Callithrix jacchus: one gene and its partner. The protein of the gene in region 1 interacts with the protein of each later gene in a biochemical or structural test. Links are inferred from orthologs where the notes say so. Each region holds a gene or a part of one and is shown in the gene's direction. Other genes may lie near its edges.

Region 1 (3,647 bases):
CTTTACCCAGGCTGGAGTGCAATGGCACGATCTCGGCTCACCACAACCTCCACCTCCTGGGTTCAAGCAATTCTTCCGTGTCAGCCTCCTGAGTAGCTGGGATTACAGGCACACACCACCATAGCCAGCTAATTTCCCCGACAACTACCATATTTTTATATGGGATCAAGAACTTGGGGTGAATACAGTTGACTTATAAACAAGCTTTTGAAATGTTGTTTAAAGGGGATTATAAGTTGGAGACAACCTTTAATGATTCATGCTTTATGTCAGCTATACCTAAAGTCATGAACAAAGTAAACCTTCAGGAAGGGAGCTGAGCACAAAATGTTTTTTTTTTTCCTTTAGTTTTTGAGACAGAGTCACGCTCCTGTCACCGAGGCTGGAGTGCAATGGTGTGATCTTGGCTAACTGCAACCTCCCAGGTTCGAGTGATTCTCATACCTCAGCCTCCCACATAGCTGGGACTACAGGTGCCCACCAATGTGCCTGGCTAATTTTTATACTTTCAGTAGAGATGAGGTTTCACCATGTTGGCCAGGCTGGTCACAAACTCCTGACACCTCAGGTGATCTGCCCACCTCGGCCTCCTAAGTTCTGGGATTACAGGTGTGAGTCACCTGTACCCAAGAAAATTGGGGTATTTTCTTCATAGCTATTCAGACAACCTGTTAAATTGTTAACATGGTTCTTTACCATTTCAAACCATTTTTCCCTCTGTAATTTTAGCTCATTTCCTAAAGGACCGTTCTAAATTTTAGCTGTCTGGAGACCATAATGAACATAACTGTTGGCTCAAAGGACTTGAAGATTTGGTTATTAGATATTGTGTTTCCAAACTCAAACCATGTCTGCAGTCATACCAGTTTCTGAGTTCTTATTTCTGGCAAGACAGTGTCTATATTCTCTGTATTATTCTCTGTCCTTTCCCCTCAGTTGAGCCTTTAAGATTTTCGCTGTGTTCTTTACAGACCCGATGGACACCAGAACAACCTGAGGAGTTCTGCATATGAATCTCTGATGGAAATTGTGAAAAACAGTGCCAAGGATTGTTACCCTGCTGTCCAGAAAACGACTTTGGTCATCATGGAGCGACTGCAGCAGGTGCTTCAGATGGAGGTGAGACCTAAGAAGGCCCCTGACTATGGGTGGGAATAGGGCAGTACTTTGGACACCTAGGTCTATTTTCCAGACTGTTCTGTCTTTTTGGTGTTTATATATTTTCTCAGAAGGATATGAAGTTTATTTAAAAAAAATTACACCTTAACGTTAGCATTGCTTGTCATGGTTTACTCAGACATGTGTTATATATATTGTGGGTTTGTTGTTGTTGTTTACTTTCCTGTGTTGGCATTAGGGAAGATTATTGAATGGTTACGTAGAGTATGTTTTCTTCTTTTCCTTGTAGTCACATATCCAGAGCACATCCGATAGAATCCAGTTCAATGACCTTCAGTCTTTACTCTGCGCAACTCTTCAGGTATTATGGTGCTATATCATTTCTTAGTAACTCCAGGAAAGATAATTAATATCTCAGTATGACAAGTTCATGTATACACAGAACTCAAAAATGGTATCGATGATGCTGATCAGAAGCTGTTCTCAGAAGACTTTGGTCTGTGATTGATGAATTGGGAGAGGAATTTCCCACCGGCCTTTCCTCACTGTCTAGAAAGATTCAAATCCTACTTTATTTATAGATGGTCTAGATATAATCTTGATAAACTCAAATCAACTTGACTTCTCCCAACTCAGTGTACACTCATCAAACCTCCCTTCCTCACTCTTGTTTGTTTCAACTAATGTCTCAGTGTAGAGAAGTAAACTACTTGATGTTTGATGGTTCCTCCCAGCTGTATAGCTGGTTTGTGTTGACAGCTTGAATGGTTTTGGTTTTTTGATTTTGAAAACCAAAAGAACTCTTGGTTTTTAATTAAGTTATTCGAGCCTAGCTCAGTCATATTTGGTTCCCAGCTATAGTTCACTTGACTAAAAATAAAGCCTTGAGTTTGTACCATCATCTTTTGAAACATTTGCTGTTTGACCTATTGTCAGTGACATTAATTGAAACAAGAAGAAGGAATGTTTGATGAATGTATATTGAATTGAGAGAAGTCAAGTTGGTTTGATTTTTATCAAGATTATTTCTAGACCATCTGTAAATGGGTAGGATATAGGAAGGGTTGCTTTTTGTTTGTTTTATTAAAAAGAGCTCTAAGGTAACAGGGCTTTTTTAAAGCTCAAGTAATTTAACTATCTAGTAAGACTAGACTATGGAGGCTACCAGCATGGATTTGTCAGACACTAAGGCAAATAAAATGCAGACATGACCTTCTGCACAATGGAGGATCAGCTCACATTGGTTCTGAATTGAGAAATTCAGAAACTGGGGAATGTTAAAATGTATTGCTGGCTGGGCACAGTGGCTCACCCCTGTAATCCTAGCATTTTGGGAGGCCAAGGTGGGTAGATATCTGAGGTCAAGAGTTTGAGATCAGCCTGGCCAACATGGTAAAACCCTGTCTCTACTAAAAATACAAAAATTAGCTTGACACAGTGTGTTGTGTGCCTGTAATCCGAGCTACTGGGAGACTGAGGCACAAGAATTGCTTGAACCCGGGAGGCGGAGGTTGCAGTGAGCCAAGATAACACCACTATACTCCAGCCTGGGCAACAGAGTGAGACTCTGTCTTAAAAACAAAAAAGTAGGGAGAGGGCTGGGTGCAGTGGCTCATACCTGTAATCCCAGCACTTTGGGAGGCTGAGGTGGGCGGATCAGCTCAGATTGGGAGTTCGAGACCAGCCTGACCAACATGGGGAAACTTTGTCTCTATTAAAATACAAAAAATCAGCCAGGTGTGGTGGTGTGCGCCTGTGATCCCAGCTACTTGGGAGGCTGAGGCAGGAGAATTGCTTGAACCCGGGAGGCTGAGGTTGCGGTGAGTCGAGATTGCGCCATTGCACTCCAGCCTGGGCGACGAGTTAAACTGCATCTCAAAAAAAAAAAAAAAAAAAAAAAGTATTGTTAATGATTGGTATTATCAGAGTTTTTTAGTATAAAAAGTACATTTGGCATTCACAAAAGAAAGTCAAAGGACTTAATTGATTTTTAAAAAGAAGGTATACTGTTCTGATTGGGAGATTGGGAATCAACTGATCTTGAACTCTTACTCATTTCACAGAATGTTCTTCGGAAAGTGCAACATCAAGATGCATTGCAGATCTCTGATGTGGTCATGGCCTCCCTGTTAAGGATGTTCCAAAGCACAGCTGGCTCTGGGGGAGTACAAGAGGATGCCCTGATGGCAGTTAGCACACTGGTGGAAGGTCAGTGAAAAATACTGTCTGGTCAGGGAATGTCTTTAGAATGCAGGCATTTCAGTGGCCTTAAATAATTGTCACCCAGGCTGGAGTGCCGTATCATGATCTTGGCACACTGCAGCTTCCACATCCTGGGATCAAGTGATTCTTCCACCTGAGCCCCCACCCCCACCCCCGACACACCAGTAGCTAAGACTACAGATGCACACCACCATGCCTGGCTAATTTTTTATATTTTTGGTAGAGACGGGGTTTCGCCGTGTTGCCCATGCTGGTCTCAAACTCCTGAGTCAAGTGATGCTTCTGCCTCAGCCTCCCAAAGTGCT
Region 2 (3,747 bases), on another chromosome or scaffold:
TGCTGGGATTACAGGCGTGAGCCACCGCGCCCGGCCAAAGCAGCTCTTTATTAGTGTAATTTATCCAAATTTCCCTCCATCATTCCTTCCACGCCCCCGGTGGGGAGTGGGAGTGCTACACGGGAGAGTCTGCGGCCCAGGGCTTCACTGCTGCCTGAGGGCTAAGATTATGTGTGGTGGTAGAAAAAGAAGAATTGGGGGCATGGAAACGCAGGAACTGCCAGAGTGAAGGTTGCAGAACCTGGCTTGGGAGGATGATGAAGAAACTGGGCGACACTAAAGTGTCGTTGTTGAGCTGGCGTTCAACAAGTATTTATTGAGTATCTACAACGCGCTAGGCATTGTTTTGACACTAGAGATTCAGCAGCAATTCAACGAAAGTACCTGCTCTCATTGAGCTGAATGCCCCGTGCGGGCAGCCAGGTAACGCACATAAACACTTGCACTTATATCTCATAGATACTTACGTACATGTCAGGTAGAAATAAGTGCTATTTATAAAACTGAAGCAGAGCATGGGAACAGTGAATGAAGGTGGCTGCTATTTGAGGAGACCCCCACAAAACAGCGAGACAGTGAAGCACCAGCGGTTGTTCTTTTTCTGATTTTCTAGCTACAGGCAGCGAGATGCGCTCCCAGGAAACCCCGCCCTCTTCCTCCTGATAGGGCACAAAGTGCCAGGATACCTCCTACCTCTTCCCCGCCTAGAGGCGGACTTGGGTCGTTGGGGGGGACTTCGCGCCCAGCAATATGAGCGCGCCGCGCAAACAGCCGCGCGCAGCGATCCCGGCATGCTCCTCGTCCTCCCTAGGCAAGTAGAATTGCTCCGGGCGGATCGTGGCATGCTGGGAACTGTAGTTGACGACCGCCAACCCGCACCTGAGGGGCGGTAAAAGCCGCGAAGTCCCGTTCCATTTCTGGCACAGGACTTGCGGCACCGTGAGGTTGTGGAGAGCTCTTGCAGGGAAGGAGGGCAGGGTCATCCCGAAAACGCCCAAACCGGTCGCCGCCCCCAGTCACGTGTCGCCAGCCTCCGCGGGCGCGCGCCACTCTTAGAACCGTTCCCGCCCCACCCGGCCCGGCTATCGGTCCGCGCCTCCCCCGGCGCTACTGCCACCTCGCGCTCGGAGGCGTCACGGAACGTGCTCTCCTCTTCCCCCCCACCTCCTTTCCCTCCAGCTCTCCCCCTCTTCCCCCGCCCGCGCCGAGACTCGTCGCCGCCGCCGCAGCCTCAGGAGTAGCCGCCGCCGGAGCCGCGCGCAGCCATGGCCGAGAACCCTAGCTTGGAGAACCACCGCATCAAGAGCTTCAAGAACAAGGGCCGCGATGTGGAAGTGAGTGTGCTTCCGCGATCTGGGGCCGCCTGGCCGCTCCGCTGGGCGACGCGAGGAGGGGCGGAGGGCCGGCGCCGGGCTGGTTCTCGCCAGCTTGTGGTCGGCCGGAGTTGGCCGCCGCCTCCCGTCACCGTGGCCCCGGGCTGGGCGGAGCGGGCGGCGGGACGCGGGCGGGGCTGCAGCCACCCTCCAGAGCTGCCGGCCCGGCGACCGGGAAATGCCGGGGTTTTCGGCCCTGTCACGCGGGCGCGGCCTGATGTCGGCGAGGAGGGGATGAGGAGCTGAGGCGGGGTCCGCGGGCGGTGGCCGCGCGGACGAACGGGGATGCTGCCGCCCCGGGCCGACGACCGCACAGTCGAGGGGCGGTTGCTGCTGGCGCCCGCCAGTGCAACCTTCCGCCCGGTGCAGCCCCCTCGGTGCCTCCCGCGCATGGAGCCTCGGCTCTGCCGGTCCCGGCTCCTACCTTCTGGGAGCCGGGCCTTGGCGGGCGGTGGCGGCCCGCAGAGGGGGGTGGGGACCAGCCGGGTAACTGACTTGTTTGAGGGTGATGGATGGGGGAGGGTAGGATGCGCCAGGACTATTTTCTTATATTCCAGTGCTGTTCTTTGGTCTAGTCGTGCCGAGCTGTTCCAGCTCATACTCCTGCAACTGCTGGTATTTGGAGCGAGCTGAAGGTGGACAATAGTTTGCCATCTATTGTGTTCAGGCGTTGGAAAAGAGGTTGTTCCGACCTCCGCTCACAGGACTTATTTTCTTAGCCTTTCTTGGAGTAGGGTGTGCATAGGGTGATAATTTCTTTGACACATTTTACTGAAATAAATTGGATACATAGGTTCATAAGTCCTCTCACATACCTCTTGCTACAAGCTAGTAGAATTTCCAAGTGGTTGCAAAACTAAGCGTTCATCGCGGTCACTCAGTTCGTTGCTACTCAGCATGTTGCCATTGTCTCATTAAGGTGACATTAGCAGGTACTATTTGCAAACTCGGCTTATTGAGGCAGCGCTAGAGGTCTCTCTGCAGCTGCTGAAAGCAATGAGTACATGCACAAACTTCACTGGGCCTGTGACCTTTGGATTTGTTAGGGGGAAAATGGTTTAAGGCTACAGCCTTCTTTTCTAATACTGGGTGACATGATATGCAGTTTTGTAGTTTTTGCTAAGAGGCTAGTGTGATTAAGAGGTGAGTATTTTATCCTGTCCTAAGGAAGGTGGTGGGTTGTATATACCATTCAGCGTTCTATTTTGTAGAGAAACAAACTCAGGCTGTTTTTCAGAGCTACAAAATTAAATACTAGTAGAAAAAACCTGGGGAGATATCCGTGGAATTCCCATTTGAATGAGTCAAATAAAGATCATGTATTCTTTCCTGGTCATGGTTAAATACTCCTTGTGAGAGAGAAATCTAAGCAAAAGTGAAACTTAGGAATAGGAACAAGAAATTTTGGAACTGCCTCCTGTCCTGATGATAAGTGTTAATTTTGAACTTTTCCCATTCTTGAGGTCTACCTCGTTTCAAATAAAAGTTTATTGAAAAATACTCATATTGTTTGTACTTTAAAACCAATAACATTTTTTCTGCTCTTGGATATTGGTACAGGTTTTTGTTTCATTGTTTACCTCTATTACGCTGTTCTGGTAATTCAGTGATACTTAGTAAGGACTCCTGCACATACTAGGTACACAACAAATATTTGCTGATGATAACAAGTAACCAGTAACTTTTAGATGCATGAAAAAGAGCATGGTTGCTAAGCCATTCAGCCTGGTATTGGTCACAACACTACATTTCTTGGGATTCTATAGGGTAACTTAAGACATGAAATAGACATGCGAATGGTAGTTCTATTGTGGCAGATGCTGTGTTAAGAGTTTCAGGATACCTTGTTTAATCTGTGCAACAAGTGTATGAGTTAGGAGTGGCGTTATCCCTACTTTACATGAGGAAAGTATTTTTTGAGACAGAGTCTTCTTCAGTTACTTAGGTTGGAGTACTCAGGCACTCATTAGCTCAGCTGCAAGCTTAAACTTCTAGGCTCAAGGAATCTTCCCACTGTGGCCTCCCAAGTAGCTGGGACTACAGGTGGACAGCACCACACCTGGCTAATTTTTAATTTTTTGTAGAGATGGGGTCTTTGTTGCCCAAGCTTGTCTTGAACTCTTGGGCTCCAGTGATTCCCCCACTTCAGCCTCCCAAAGTGTTGGGACTGCAGATGCTGAGCTATCACACCCAGATGGAACTTTAGATGCAAAACCTCAGTGTGCTTATGTAGCCTGTGCAAGTCACTCAGTGGATATGGGCATTATTTATTCACTAATTGTCTATTCAGTATCTATCAATGTTAGGTCTTTGGGATAAGGGATAAGATGCAGTCTGTACCTCAAGGAGTTTTCATTCAGTGGGGGTGTTAATT

What was found. The genes of interacting proteins can lie anywhere in the genome.
Region 2: the proteins of KPNB1 (region 1) and KPNA3 form a complex in vitro, tested with the Homo sapiens proteins (2 studies listed by BioGRID and IntAct, with this or other methods). The link is inferred for Callithrix jacchus from reciprocal best matches to the Homo sapiens genes KPNB1 and KPNA3.

Annotation. Positions count from the first base shown.
Region 1 is NC_133506.1:118,627,061-118,630,707, reverse strand, and holds part of KPNB1 (importin subunit beta-1), read left to right. Parts: intron 1-971; coding exon 972-1,119; intron 1,120-1,408; coding exon 1,409-1,480; intron 1,481-3,182; coding exon 3,183-3,327; intron 3,328-3,647.
Region 2 is NC_133502.1:66,189,245-66,192,991, forward strand, and holds the start of KPNA3 (importin subunit alpha-4), read left to right. Parts: upstream 1-1,197; 5' UTR 1,198-1,265; coding exon 1,266-1,334; intron 1,335-3,747. UniProt on the Homo sapiens protein: Functions in nuclear protein import as an adapter protein for nuclear receptor KPNB1. Binds specifically and directly to substrates containing either a simple or bipartite NLS motif.